2 linked regions of the Notamacropus eugenii genome follow. The protein of the gene in region 1 purifies or fractionates together with the protein of each later gene. This does not show direct contact. Links are inferred from orthologs where the notes say so. Each region holds a gene or a part of one and is shown on either strand. Other genes may lie near its edges.

Region 1 (7,942 bases):
GAGAAACAAGAATATTCCTGGGACTCAATCTAGTGAGGGAATGAGACTGGGACGCAGACCTTGTGATAGAGGGGCAAGCACAAGGTGGCTGAGAGAGCTCAGTGATCAGAGGCCTGGGCTGGCTTCCCCAAGATGTCCTCATCTCTGTTTCCTAGACCGGAGCGTTCCCCCACTTCTCCATCAGTGCCTCCCCAGGAGTGTGAAAGTGATGATGAGCTGATCTGATCCACTCAGGAGCTAGAGGGCCAGAGCCCCTCCTCCTTCTCCCAGGTCACTCAGAGGAGGGTTCTGGGGGGGAGGGGGAGGGGCACAGGGCCTGGCTCTGATTCTAGGAGAATTCCCTCAGGCTCAGGCAGGCCTTTGGAGAGCTGGGCCATGGCACCCTCCCACTCCCCATCCCCAGGGAAACAGAACCTTCCTGCAGGAGCTGTCTAGTCCCATCCCCCCCAACCCAGGGGTTCTGGTGCTGAAATTCACAGAGGGTAGATGGGCCTGCATGGCAAGAAGCAGCAGCCTAGCCTCAGCAAAGCCAAGACAAGAGAGAATTAGAGGGGCAGGAAAGGAGCAGGGACCACATTCTTCACTTAGAGCACAGTCTGGATAAAGGTCTGGAGGCCAGAGATGGAATGTCATGTCCAGAGCAGCTGAAGAATACATGGGTGATGAAGAAGGTAGAGTGGGCCAGTAAAAAGCTCTCTGATTTGGGGTCCATTACTCCCATGGTCCTCATCTGATTAAAGACCTTCCCAGTGTAATCACTTCTAGCCTTAGGATCCTATAAATTCATTGAAGAGATGGGGGACTATGGGTGTGGAGTAGTGCATATCCTAGCAGATACAACCATTTTGTTAGCTTTGCTGAAAAGGTTTTTTTTTTCTTTTTAATATTTATCAAAAGGAAACCTTGATAGGGAGGAGGAGAAAGGAAGGCTATATTTGTGAATGAACATGATGTCAAAATGAAAGGCATCATACATCATATATAATGAAATATGAAATAAGACTGGAAAAATAGAAGGGAGCCAGACTGGGAAGGGTTCAACTTTCCACCATTGTCCTCCAGGGCTTGAGGCTGTTGGTGAGGTTTGGGCCTGGAGGAAAGAGAGCCCCTCCCTTCCTTCCCTGAGGCTCCTTCCCTCAGTCTTTCTGTTCCGGGCAGCTAGGTGGTGCAGTGGATAGAGCACCAGTGCAGGAGTCAGGAGAACCTGAGTTCAAATCTCACCTCAGACACTTGACACTCACTAGCTGTGTGACCTTGGGCAAGTCACTTAACCCCAATTGCCTCATCCTGGGTCATGTCCAGTCATCCTGATGAATATCTGGTCACTGGATTCAGATGGCTCTGGAGGAGAAGTGAGGCTGGTGACCTGCACAGCCCTCCCTCACTCAAAACAAAGTCAAGTGCAAGTCATGTCATCATTTCTCTGATGGCCTGGTCTTCTTCGGCAACAAAGGATGAATACACACACAGCATTTTACACAAGGACGCCTCCCTTACCTGCCTTATAAACTGTGTCCCATCATTGTGGCTCCAGAGAAGGTGCCAACCTGTGGCAGTGGAGAGGGTTTGCTCATCTGAGAGATCCCTTTGCCAGTGAAACCCCAGCTCTAACCCCTGCCTCTCGCCTATGATGCCCATGATCTGCCAGGTTGGCATTTGTGGTCAGGATGCTCCGATCACTCCCCCTGGTGGCCCTTGGGATCCTGGGAGGAAGTGGAGGTAGGCTGCAGCTTAGGTGGGGGTTCAGGACAAAGAGAAGATAAGCCTGTGGTTAGACAGGGAGCTCCCCGCGGGCAGTAACTCCCTTTGCCTGAGGCCCAGGCTCAGTGCCCACTTGGCCTAGATGCCAGCATGGTGTTTGCTAAACAGTAAAGTGTTGAAACAAGATCATGTATAAAGGACATTTGTAAACCAGAAAATCAATGGAACGTGAGCACTCAGTTTAGAGATGAAAAGAGCTACAGCTGGGTTGGCCAGTGGGAAGTGCGCTGTACTTGCAGCTGGAAAGACCTGGTTCAGATACTACATCCTTCCCCTTCCTAGCTGTGTGACCCAGGGCAAATCACGTCCCTCTCTCAGCCTCAGTTTCCTTATCTGTAAAGTGGACGCAATCATATCGGGATCCTGAGATAATCCAGGGAAAGCTTTGCAAACCCCAAAGGGCTATGTCAGTGCTATTAACAGTAGCATTATTACTGTATCCCAGGTGAACAAAGGACAGCCCAGCCAGGGCATCAAGGAAAAGCTCTTGGGGTGAGTGAGGGGCTGATCTGGAAGGGAGTTCAGATGGGTAGAAGAGGCTAGAACAGGGGCTGGTGAAATGTTGTCTCAGCTGGTTCTGAGTTAGTCTTTGAAGGACCGGCTGGGGAGAGCAGCAGAAGGGGAAGGAACTGAGGCCAGCCTGGGCCTTTCTGCATCAAACCCTGAACATGCCAAGCTGAGGCAAACTGCTTGGGTCACTCATTCACCCTGCAGAAGTCCTGCCTCCCATCAGCAAGAAAGTGAACAGAGCTTGGGAAGGTCCCCACACACCCCCTGGCGCATTTCCCCTCTAGGATCTCTTAGGAGAAGGTTGGGGAGGAAGATGTGTGAATGTGAGGAGGGGACAAGGCATATGTATCCGTGTGTACCCAGCTGTATGGAAGTCAGGACTCACCTCAGGGAACTTTCCCTTGGCGAAGACCATCAGTAGAGACGTCTTGCCGCACCCCCCATCACCCACCAGGACCACCTTGATGGTAGGAACAGCTGGGTCCAAAGGCTGGGGCTCGTCGTCCCTTTGCATGCCGCCGGCCTCTGTGCTAGTCGGAGACCCTGTCCTTCAAAAGGCCCTGTCCAGCTCAGCAGGCATCTCTTTGGAAGGATGTGGCGGAAGGACTGTCAGGCTACCTCTCGCCCTGTCTGGGAACTCCTCTCGATCCTCTCTCTGCCTCCTAGAGCTGGGAGACTGCAGGGCCAGTGGGTGCCTGACTGCTCTCTGGAGAAGGCCACAGTCACTGAGCCACACAGCTCTCGCCCTGGCCCAACCCCTCTGTGACAGGCCCGGAAGGCTGCAGGTGTGTGAGCTCAGGAATGTGGAAGGGGCGGCACCACCTAGAGGAAGCCAGGAAGCTGGAGAACGCTTGGGTGAGCTGTGTGTGACATCTAGAGACAGTCAGGGTTAAGGTGTGGCCCACTCTGAAGATCCTAGCTCCAGCCAAGAGGCTACCTAGTCCCACTCTCTCGTTTGACAAGAGAAAAGTGGGGCCTGAAGAAGCCCAGTGGCTCGTGCTAAGATACCTGGGGAGGGGATGTTAGAGGGGGTCTGAAGCCTCTTCTCATTTCTGCCCTCCCAAAACTCATTTTACTACAGAGGAGACTGGAGGTATCCACAGGCTCTCAGAATGAGCCCCTTCACCCAAGCAGAGCAAGAAGGATTTCAGGGAGTGGGAGGGCCTTCCCTCTCCACCCCCAAATGTCCCCCCAAGGTAGTTTTATCCATCACTGGGGCTAGTGACCACCGTCCTGGGGAGGGGTCCCTTCAGTGAGCTCTGCCGGGCCAATCCTGTCTAGCTGGCGGGATCAGCCAGACTGGGGACCCCACACCAGGATGATGCTTTCCTCCCATCAGCCTGTGGGATGGGAAGGGTTCCTCCTCCCCAGCCTTGCCACCCTCCCCCACCCTACTACCCTTCACTTTCCAATGAGGCATTTAGATGAACTGCATGTAACTTTGTTAAAGGTTTTATTGAAGTATTTTGTCATTTCTAGAAATCTACACACACACCCAGGAACTGACCCCTCCCTTGTATCTAAGAAACCAGTTAAGCAGAAATAACTGATAAGGTGATCTCACCGGCCAGCGTCTACATCACTCTGCCCTAGCAGTCTCGGCCTCTTTTACCAGGAGCAGGGAGGAAGGGAGGGAAGGACAACTTGATGACGGGACCAGTGACTTAATGGTTATAGGAAACTCCTCCCAGTGAGCAATACCTTCTTTGATACCAATAATCTCCATAGTTCTTAGAGCCCAGAGAAGTTTAGTGAATTGCCCAGGGTCACACAGCCAATTTGCCTGACTCTGAGGCCAGCTCTCTACCCATCACACCACGCTGCCTCTTTCTTACTTGTAAGGTTAATCTTATTTTTCTTATCCAATTTCCTTTTATGTCATAATCACTTCTGAAAATCTCCTTCCTCCATCCCTTTTAACAAAGATTTTAAAGTAGGTAAAAAGCAGTTCAGCAAAAACCGACCCATTCTGTAGTCTGGGGTATCTCCTTTTGCTAGTACAAGATGTGGTGCCCTGAATATTCTGTGTCTGAGAGGCCCTTCTTGTGCCTCTGACCTCCTCTGAAGTCTGTGTGTAAGTCTCCCCGGGATCTCTGGGTTCAGGGGTGTGGACATTTAATCCCCTCCCACTGCATAATTCCAAATGGCTTTCCAGAGTGGTTGGCCCATCTCAGAATTCTGTCTACAGTGCTCATAGGCCTGCTGTCTCCAAGTCCCTGAGAGTTGTCAGTGTGCATTTTCAAAGGGCCTCCTGGAGACAGCACTTTTGGCAAACCCCAGATGCCCTACCCTAGTTTATCATATAGCCAAGCAGGCCATGGGCTGTAGGGGGAAGACCAGCTCAGATATACACCAAGTGCATGACCACAGGCCAGTGTGAGCCTCATCTCACAAAGCCTCAGTTTCCTTTTTAGTAAAATACTTAGAATACCATGGAGGAAAGCACTTAAATAAAACCTAAAAGTACTCTAGGAGTAGGTATTGGTCATCTTCCAGTGAGCCTGAGCAGTGACCCATCGTTGTAATGGGGCTGACAGGAGGGTGCTGGCCCTTTCCCTGGCCTAGGATGGTGGGGGGAAGAACTTGCTCTGCTCTCTGACTGCCCCAAGCTGCACCCCAGTTCCCCTCAGCTGACCAGGTAATTCACAGAGCAGAGGTCTGTGCTTCCCACATTGTTCTCAGAACACTTCCCGGTATGAGCCTTGGACTAGACATCCGAAAGATCTAGATTCCAGGTCTGATGCTTTCAGCTAATGAGCTGTTATCTTGTCCAAGTCCTTTCCCCTCAATGTTGGGAGCCTCAGTTTCTTTGGATATAGCCCTGGAAGGGACTTCAAAAGTCATTGAATTCAATGCCCCGATTTTACAGTTTGAAACTGAGGCCCAGGCCGGTCATGTGACTTGCCCAATGTCACACCGTGGGTATCAGAGGTCCTCTGGAGCTAGGGTTTCTTGTATTGTTCCCCACACACACACCCCCACCGTGTTCCAGGGAGGTAGTGGAGACAGGGCCTGGGTCTGAGGTTGTGCTGCAGAGGGGGATGTGCAAATCATCCAGACAGAAAAGATGATTAAATTCACAACACACAAGCAAGGTCTACGGGATCAACTGCAGCTGAATTAAGAGGGAATGAGGAAAGGTTTCCTGGAGAAGGTAGGATGTAAGCTGGTACTTGAAGGAAGTCAGGAAGGGGGATAAGGACGGAGACAGTCCCAGACAAGGGGCACAGCCAGGCAGCCAGTGTCACTGAGCTGAAGAATACATGGGGTGGGGGTGGGGGTGTAAGAAGGCTGGAAAGGAGGGCAGATTGTGAAGGATGTTGAAAGCCGGAGGATTTGATTTGATTTTTATCGCTGGAGGTGATCAGGAGCCACTGGGGTTTATTGAGTTGGGGGGAGGGGACATGACATGCATGTAAAGTCTGGCTCTGCCTGGGCCAAGTTGTCAGAGCCCAAACTTCCCTGTTCATTGGGCCACTTCTGGCTCAGAAGGCACCTGGAGGGTGGGGCCAGCACCTGGCATAGCCCAGGTGTGCCCAGCTCAGCCCTGGCACCAACACCCTTTTGCTCAGTCCAGCCTCCAGAGAAAGTGATGAGTCACCTTCCTAAGCCCACGTTGGGCGCCTGGGGAAATCTCTGCACAAGTCCCTCTTGCCCTGATTGGCCAAGAGCTTCCCATGGGTGCCAGGCCGGTTCCCTGAAGTTGTTTTCAGGAGGTGGGCAAACGCATTGGTGGTACCCCAGGAACCAAGGTCTGTCTAAGTTCAGTAACTTGTTTACTTGTGGATTATGGGGCAGGACACCACGGCTCCTCGTGGGGTGTATTGGTGCCCAGGCCAGACCTAATAAGGTTAGTCCCTCCACAAAGGTTCCGGGGTGGTGCCACACTCCATGCTCCACCGTGGGCGGTGGGCTCTTCTTGGAGGTGGCATTCATAGCCGGCTGCAAGAAGAGGCACATAAGGAGATCCGGGTCTGAGCTTTGGTCTTTTAAAGGTTATATCTACCCTCAAAAAAAGGAAGATCGTTTGTGGGGGTACCTCTCCTGGAGTCCACCTTCCATGATCCACGCCCTCCGTAGGAAAGACAATTGGCAAGCAGGAGCCAGGGCAGGGTGACCTAAAGTCGGGTCGGATAGCGGGGCAATGCTGATACAATCGAGCGTTAGGCCTGAAGGAATTGGGGGAGGGAAGATGGAGGGGGTGAGGGGAGTGAAATCAATCAGTGCAGGGTGAGAGGGAGCCGATGACCGAGGCAGCCTTAAGGCCCGGAAGCCGCCGTTTCCATCCCACCCCGGAATTAGGCTGTCCCTGTGAACCTGGACAAGTCCCTCACCCTAGCTTCTCAGAACGCTCAAAGAGGTGGGGGTGATGCTCTATCCCCGAACCGACATAAGCATGGCATGTCCTTCAGGGCCCGGCATTCGGCTGGGCTCTGACTGAAGATGGGGCTCCCTCTGGCTGGTGGGCTGCTATGCAAAGGTGTGGAGGTGGGAGATGGGACAGTGGGCCATGTGACCCAGAGGCAGGCATCGGTGTTAGCTAGGGCCGCGTGCTGCTGCAGCTGTTCGGATCTGAATTCGAGCTCTGCCGAAATGGCCCTGAACCTTTCTCGTCAGGCGCCTCTACTAGGGCGGTCTTCACCTGCTCCTCTATTGGAAGACATTTATTTAACACCAGAAGAGGTCAGAGGCCAAGAAGCCTGGGGTGGAGGGGTGGGGGGGCAGGCAAATGCAGGCGAGTTCCAGGAGCCATTGTCCATTGTTTGGATCCAGGCTTTCCCCCTGCCCCCCCCCACCCCGCCCCTAGCCCAGATGCCCCCCCCCGCCCAACTGCCCCCCCCCCGCCCCCTAGCCCAGATGCCCCCCCAGCCCAGATGCCCCCTCCCGCCCCTAGCCCAGATGCCCCCCCAGCCCAGATGCCCCCCCCCGCCCCTAGCCCAGATGCCCCCCCAGCCCAGATGCCCCCCCAGCCCAGCTGCCCCCCCCCCGCCCCTAGCCCAGATGCCCCCCCAGCCCCTAGCCCAGATGCCCCCCCACCCAGCTGCCCCCCCCGCCCCTAGCCCAGATGCCCCCCCACCCAGCTGCCCCCCCCCGCCCCTAGCCCAGCTGCCCCCCCCGCCCCTAGCCCAGATGCCCCCCCAGCCCAGCTGCGCCCCCCGCCCCCTAGCCCATGCCCTTCTGCTCCCAGCTTTGCGGGGGCGGGCAGCGCTCGAGCCCCCCCCCCCCCCCCCCCCCACACTTTGCAGGGATGACTCGGCTCTTTGCAGATCGCCCAGAAACCTCGTGGGCTCGGTAAGCGGTTGGATGTTGCTAGGCGAAGAAGGCGTCAGGCCTCCCTGCGGAGCGCAGGTGGCCACGCCATTGGCGCAGGCTCTGCAGCCAATCAACTGCCAGCCCGGGGCGTCAGCCGTCTCCGGGCAGCACCAGGGCGTGTCCCCTCCCCTGCGCTGCGGAAAAGGGGCTGTGGAGCCCATCTCCCCCAGGAAGGCTACTTTCTCCTAGACTTCTTCCTCTGCCCCCCGGGGCGTCCCAGGACCCGAGAGGTCACCGGAGAACTTACAGAGGGGGACACTGAGGACCCGGGCAGTGACACCCGCATCACAGAGAAGCCAAGCTCCCAGGCCCTCCCCCACCAGAATGCAGGGCCCGTTCTGAATCTTTCCCCTCCCAG
Region 2 (7,453 bases), on another chromosome or scaffold:
CCATAGCTGTGCATGGCTAAATGACTTGCCTAGGTTTACACAGGGCAAGTGCCTGTCAGAGGAAGGACTTGAACACTCCCAGCTTGTAGCCCAAGTTTCTATCCACTATTTCCTGCTTGCCTTTCAACACTAAAGAAATTAAATGTTTCCCCAAAAAGTCACAAGTCTTTTATCTATAATATGTTGTTCTCATAGGTTTGTTTTTATTTGCTTTGCCCACTTGGCTTTTAAGATATACCGTTCAATTTTTTATGCTGCTTAACTTACATTTAGTCTAAGAAAAAAGAAATTTAAAAATTATATAGTAACAACAGTGTCTCCTTGCTTAAAGCAGTGCTCCATATGGGATAGTTTAAAGACCAATGGGAGCCAGAGCAGACACTATCACATCCTGCTAATAGCTAGTTTTACCACCACAGATCTATGTCTTTCTTTGTCTAAGACAAGTGAAACATACAAGATGAAACAGGACAAAAAGCCAAAGGGAGTTAAGAACAGAATTGAGGTGCTATTACCAACAAAGAGAAACACTTTTCCTTGACAGCAGGCTTCTTAAAAGCAAAAGCTTCTCCTTAAATGGCCTGACCAATTATTTGCAACTACTAAAGAATTTTTAAGGTTAGGTAAAAAGGTAGTTCTAGCATTCTAGCAAAACCCAAATGACCAACATTACTACAAATGCAGAAGAGCAGAACTTGTAGGCTGATTGATTTAGAGCTATAAGGAACCTGAGGGCATTGAGCCTCACCCTCTCATTCTATACAAGAGGAAGTGAAAAGGGGAAAGGGCCTAGGTCAGTTTTAAGTGACATGCCCAAAGTCACACATGTAATACAGTATGTATTATGGGAATCCAGAGGCTCTGACTCCTGATCCAGCATGCCTTCCAACACACACCCTCCAAAAGTCACCAGGCTCTGGTAAGCCCCTCACACAAAACCTGGAAGTTTCCTTTACGCAGATATTACAGAGAGGTTCAAACGGCACCGAACTAGATAGGAGCCAAACAAAAACCAATTCAAGCAAAGCTTGCTGGCTGAGATGAGTCATTTACAGAGTTTGTGCAACTCAGAACAGAATTTGTTTCTGTATCAGAGTTGGAAAAAAACAAAGTGGGTGCTCACTGATTGAGGAAAGGCTGAAGAAATTGTGGTGTATGGATGTAATGAATATCACTGTGCAAAGTAAAGTCATTAAGATGAATTTAGAGAAGCATGAGGAAATTCCCATGACTGATACAGGCTGAATCAAGGAGAATTAGAATATTCACAATGACTAAAAAAGTCATACTAAAAATATGAGAATGAAGACAAATACCAAGTATTTAGTGACCTATCTTGGACAAGAGTTGATCAAATGCACCTCCCTTGTTTTGGAAAAAAAGTGGGGGAAACACATCTCACTCACTGCCAACCATGACAGAAAAATTGGCTCAAGAAAAATGCAGGTGGGTTTCTGTGGCAAGCCAGATGACATCTTCCATTATCTTTTCAGATGAAGCAAGCAGTTATGGAAATGGCTTCTCACATGCAAGCTACTGCAGTTGACCAAGAGTTAGAGATGGGGTCAAGGAGATGAGTGTTCAAATTCTAGCTGCTGCCCTACTCAGTGTCTATATGCCAGCTCAGATGGAGGCCTCTCTGTAGAGCACTATGTAGTAGAAGGTGTGCAGGAATAAAGGAAGATGCCTCTATCTCTTGGCTTGGTCATTTTCTTTGGCGGTTCCCCAGGAGTGAAGTACTGTCTGTCATCTCCACTTCTGGCTTCCCTCAGGTCCCACCTAAAATTCCAGCTTCCTTCCACAGGTAGCCTTTCCCTACCTTTCTCAATTCCAGGGTCTTCCTCCTGCTCATTATTTCCTATTCATTCCATATAAAGTTTGTACATTGTTTGCTGGTAGGCTCCCCCGTTAGGTTGGCAAGTGAGGGCAGGGGCTGTCTTTGGCCTAACCCTACATGCTTAACAGAGTCTAAATGTGTGCTTCAGAAATGCTTATTGACTACATGTCGGCCCAGGTATCTACTTCACAGTTATAAAGCTCCCAGGAAAATGTGAAGTAAATCAAAGAACACACTGTATGGAGGATGGATGTGTACGAAATCTCTAAATGTCCAAACGGAGTGACCCTATCCAATTCTCCTCCAATGATGTTAACTGACAAGTTACTATCAACTCCAAACTTCCAGCGTCGCCTCCTTCCTGTGCGGACTGAGTCACAAGGGAGGCCCAGGCTCGCCCTCCAACAAGGGCAGGGTGTAGGGGGAAGCTGCTGCACGATTGCCCAACACGATCCCTTCCTTTCCTCGGGCAGCGGCAGGAAGTGGCTGCAGCCACTCAAACTTGGAGCCGGCTGCCAGGGGCTCTCAAACTTTCTGTTGGCGGCCCACGAGAACCCCACCCACCCCCGCTGCCAGGGCTCCTCACGACTGGTGCCCAACCGCACCAGGGGAAAGGGGGTAACTAAAGTGAGAACAGGAGCGAAGGAAAGAAAGAGAAAAGTAAGGAGAGGGAGGCAGACACAAGCGTGTGTGGACGGCTGCTCTGGCAAGTTCTGGGAGAGCAGAGAAGGAAGGGGGGAGGAGGAAGGGAGACATCGGAGAGGTTCCCGGGGGGCTCCCCCTCCCCAAGCTCGGTGACAAGCAGCAGCTACAAAGAGGGGTGGGCGGACAGTGGGCGCGGGCGCGGGCGGGCACGCGCACAGGCACACACCCGCGCGCCCGCTCCTTCGGGGGCTCCGCCCGCCCCCCTCCCCCGCGGACGGTGGGGGGGAAGCCTCGCGCGCGGCGATCCCGGGGGCTCCCCTCCCCCCCGCCCCACCCCCACCCCCCCGGGCAGGGCACACTCACCAGCTTGGGCTTGTTCTTGGTCTCCTCGTCGCCGGCGGCCCGGCCCCCAGTGCTTCGCTTGCCGCTCCGGCCGCCGCCGGGCTCCTCGCCGCCGGGGCCCGCCGCCGTCCCGGGCTGCTCCATCTTTCCCGGCCCCGGTCACCTGCGCCCCGCACCCCGCCCCGCCCTGAGCCGAGCTCGCCTCCCGACCCCGCCCGGCCCGCCCCTGGGGGCGCGGCCGCCGCCCTCGGGCCCCGGGGCGTCGGGCGAACCCCCGCGCCGAGCCGCGCCGCTCTCCTAGGAGGACGGCCGAGGGGCGCCGGTGGTTCTAGGAGGGCCTCGGCACTTGCGAGGCGGCCGGGGAGCCGCTGTCAGGCGCCCGGCCGGGGAAAGCACAGCTTCCGACTCCGCCGCTGAGTCGGGCCGCGCTACTGAGCATGCCCGGCACGGCTAGAGCCGCGCCGCCCGAGCCGCGCTGCCCGCCCGTCCGCCTGTCCGGCCGCCGGCTGTTGGTCCTGCCGTCCGGCGCCCGCCCTCCGCCTCTCAGAGTGCGCCTGGCACTTCCCGGGGACGGGACAGCGAGCGGGGGAGGGGGAGGGAAGGCGCGGGGAGGCGCTGACCCGGGGGAGGAGCCCATCCTTCGGATGGGGAAGCGGAGGCCGACGGAGGAGGCAAAAGTTGCGCTGACAGCCGGGAAGGCGCGGGAGGTCATGCCTGGTCAGGGCCACCTCGACTCCCACTCCACCCACGCTTAGGAGCTTTCGGAAGGCAAGGTAGTGAACTGGAAAGAGATTTGCTTCGAAGCTGGCCTCGACCACCTACTGCTTGTATGACCTCGGACTTTACTACCTTGGGTGACCTTGACCAACTCACTAGCCCGCCCTAGGACTCAGTTTCCCCTATATGAAAAATGAAGTCATTGAAATAGACGATCTCGAAAGTCCCTTCCAAACTTAGTTCTGTTATTGGTTCCCCAACTAGTATCCCTTGGAAAGTCACCAGAAACGTGGCTTTACAGTCTCTCCACTCCCAATATCAACACGATGGCCAAACCCATACTCCTAATGTGCAAATCGAACCATATCATTCCCTGTTGGTACTCGGTAAACTCTAGTGGTCCCCTATGGCCTGTAAGATCAAATAAATTCCTCTACCTGTTAAAGCCCCTGACCTGCCTTTTCAGCCTTTATCACACAGGGCTCCTCCTCATGCATACATAGGATCTAGCCGAATTGACCTTTTCCCTGTTTCTCACACACAGCACTCCATTTTCAGTCTCTATGCCTTTTTGTTGATTGTCTCCCAAGCCTAAAATTCACTCCACCTCTCCAGTTTCCTTCAAACCTCTGCACAAGCTCCTGATCCCTCAGGCATGTTTCCCCTCCTCCCATACATTCCCCTTATATTTGTTTTTAATCCCTTTGTATATGTCCATTTCCATCCAGTAGAACGTAAACTCTTTTGAGAGCAAAAGGCTTGCAGTTGGGTCTTTTTGTAAGCCCAGCACAGTGCTAGGCACTTAATAAAAGTTCGCTGCTTGATTGCCCAGACAGATTGACACTACGTACCTATTTATTCAAATACAGGGAGATCACGTGTCAGATAATCACAAAGTACTGTCTAAACATGTCCCCCTCTAACGTTTTATCGTGCCATGCAGTGGAATACAAGCTCGCAAAGGTTTTACCAGAAAAGTGCAAGATAACTGCTACTTATGCAGCACCTTAAGGTTTGTAAGGCATTTCGCAGTCTCACCAGATTCTCAACAACCCTATCAGATAAATACTACAGATCCCCACCATTGATCAGAAGACCTTGAGACTCTAAGAAGTTATGTAACTTTCTCGGCCATGTCCAATTCCTGCCACTTTGACCAAACCACACTGTTTCTTGAACTAGAAAAGCTTTGACAGTGGGTGCTGCTCGAAGGTCAGCAAGGAGAGGGCATTAACTCTCTTGGTCTGATAAGTATTTGCTGAGGACAAATGAGATGCATATAAACAAACTAGCTGCTTAAGGGAAGTGGAAAACGAGCTTGAATTAACATAGATTTTGAACTGGGGGGTCTGCAGACCAGGCAGATCACCCCACTTATATATACAGAATAATGGATTACGCTTGCAAAAATGTAAGAAAAAACTATCTAAAGAAACCCACCAAAAGTACAATTGGCTTCCTGGGGAGATGTTGAGTTTCGCATCCCTGAAGGAATTTAAATGCGAACTGGCTCAGTCAAGAGCTGTATAGGAGATGGGCTCCTAGTCAGATATGGGCTTGATTAGATAGCTTCTGAAGGCCACTGCATCTCTAGGATCCTTTGGCCTTGTTATCAAATGGGAACAGAAGGGACTGTGACACAAGTGGCATCAATTCAGATATGGTTGTATAGTTTATGTAAAGGTGACATGGCTTCAGATTGAAAGTTCTGTTGTTTGGGTTTGATATTATCAGGATAATCGACATCTTCAAAGGAACTCGATTGTTTTTGAATAAACTGAAAAGAGATGTTCCTGATCAATTGTGTTTGTATTTTACTTTAAACTCAACCCCTAGCTCTTTTAATTCTTGGTGTTTATTTTTCAGTATTTTGTTCTGTTTAATGTCAACAATGAAAACCCTTTCAAGACAGGGGGGACATTGACCTCTGAAGCCAAAACACCAGTGTTACTGCTGCTCTCTAGCAAGGACACAGTCAGGTGATTCTGCAACTGGCACCACCTCATCTGGAGTCTCAGAAACAACCTTGCCCCACCTACATGCCTCTCTTTTCATTTCTGCCTTCTTGGGAAACAAAGAGAGGCTAGGGCAGAGAGAAGTACCTGAGCCTTAGGGCAGTATGAAGAAAGGAGATACCGCCCACAGCTGGGATTCCATAAAGTTATGCAAAACTACTGGCCTATTTGGTTTCTTCTGTGGTTCCTTCTCCCTTATAGATCCCTGTAGTCTAGGTTCTAGAGAATATAAAAGTGTCAGAGCTGGGGGAGATACTTCAATGGAACCATGACATCACCAAGTCTTCTCTCTTCCCCCCCCCCACCCCCACCCGCCCTTTCCTCCATGGGAATACTCCCTCCAATGGGGTAAATTGGAAAACCTACCTACCACCTTATCCTGAACAATTCAAGTGCCCACATTTCCACAGAGGATCTGCCCAATGCATTGGAGGCCTTCCTCTGCTGCAGCATAGGGAATGTCCTTCTGTTCTCTCTCATTCTAACTACATGTTCAGCCACCTCCTTTTCTAATTATATTGAACACTTCCTTGATTTTGAGATACGAAATGTGATTAAATTAACACCTGAATTAATTCAGGAACAGTTATATGCTAGACTTCCCCTTTATGATGCCTTCCTCCCAGAATCCCTAGCTTCTTTCCAAGCTCAGTTCAAGCACCCTTTCATAAATGAGGCCTTTTCTAATTCCCCCTCCCCAACTTCCAGTTCTCCCTTCCAAGAAAGTTCTTGGACTTCATAGATATTTATCTGCATACATGTTGTTTTCCCCATTAGAAGGTAAGCCTCTTGATTAATGTTTTTCTGCAAGAAATGGTGAATATGATGAATACAGAGAAGCATGAACTGTTGGCAGTCAGGAAAACAGCACAGATGACTACACCAATGTAAACCAGAAGGACAACTGAAGAACAACCCCTCTTATTCCCATCCCCTCTTTTCTGCTGCTGTGGCTGCTATGGGTTCCTCCCCCCCTTCCCCCTCTGCTGCCCTGGGACTAGGGCTGGACCACTCCACTCTCCCACATTGGTCCCACAGGCTTTTTCTACTGACCTTCCAATTTGTCCTCGGCGTTTTAGGGTCCTGAAGTCTGGAAACTGTCACAGGCATGAGAAATTCAGTCTCCCCAAGGTCTACTACTCAGGTTCTGTCTGTGCCCACTCTGGACTGCGCGCTCTGCCCCCAGTGTGCCACAGTAGACACTTCCTGGGGACCTTTCAGGCTGTCTTGGGCTGGGGATTTGCTTCACTCCATCATTCTCTGGGTTATGCAGCTCCAGAATTTGTTTAGAGCCATTTTTGACAGGTATTTGACTGGGCTTTGGGGGCAGTGCTCTAGAAAGTGAGTGCTATTACTCTGCTATCTTGGCTCTGCCCCCTATTTTCAGATTATTTTTCAGTGTATTGATCTTACTAATTGTTTTTTCCTCTTCATCCTTTTTTTTTCCTTTAAAAATATTTCTTTTATGGGAAAGCTCTCTGGGAGGGGAATAGAAAAATCTAAATGATATTAAAAACAAAAGATATTTTTAAAATTACTTGAAAAAAAATGAATGTAAGCCCATTGAGGTCAAGGTCTATCTTTGTATTCCCAGTGCCTGGCATATTCATGCCTGGAATAAGGACTTTCCTTAATAAGTGATTGTTGAATGATTCAAAAATCATAGAAGCTAGTTTAAAAGTGCTTATGAAATCACCTAGTTCAGTCTTCTAGGAATCATATTTGCATGGGTTTTCTCCCCTAATAATGTGGAGTATAATTCATCTCAATCAAGAGATGAACTCATTTCTTACCTTCTACCTCCCCATCTATTTAACACAGTGCCTGTCACATAGTAGGCACTTAATAAATGTTGTCTCTTGACTTGCTGTGACAATGATTCCACCTTAACCAAGTT

What was found. The genes of interacting proteins can lie anywhere in the genome.
Region 2: the proteins of RHOD (region 1) and DIAPH2 purify together in Homo sapiens (co-immunoprecipitation; 3 studies listed by BioGRID and IntAct, with this or other methods). This does not show direct contact. The link is inferred for Notamacropus eugenii from reciprocal best matches to the Homo sapiens genes RHOD and DIAPH2.

Annotation. Positions count from the first base shown.
Region 1 is NC_092873.1:19,533,688-19,541,629, reverse strand, and holds the start of RHOD (rho-related GTP-binding protein RhoD), read right to left. Parts: upstream 3,045-7,942; 5' UTR 2,786-3,044; coding exon 2,657-2,785; intron 1-2,656. Other genes in the region: uncharacterized protein, read left to right, coding at 6,889-6,954, 7,539-7,942. UniProt on the Homo sapiens protein: Involved in endosome dynamics. May coordinate membrane transport with the function of the cytoskeleton. Involved in the internalization and trafficking of activated tyrosine kinase receptors such as PDGFRB.
Region 2 is NC_092879.1:88,993,498-89,000,950, reverse strand, and holds the start of DIAPH2 (protein diaphanous homolog 2), read right to left. Parts: upstream 3,003-7,453; 5' UTR 2,969-3,002; coding exon 2,846-2,968; intron 1-2,845. UniProt on the Homo sapiens protein: Could be involved in oogenesis. Involved in the regulation of endosome dynamics.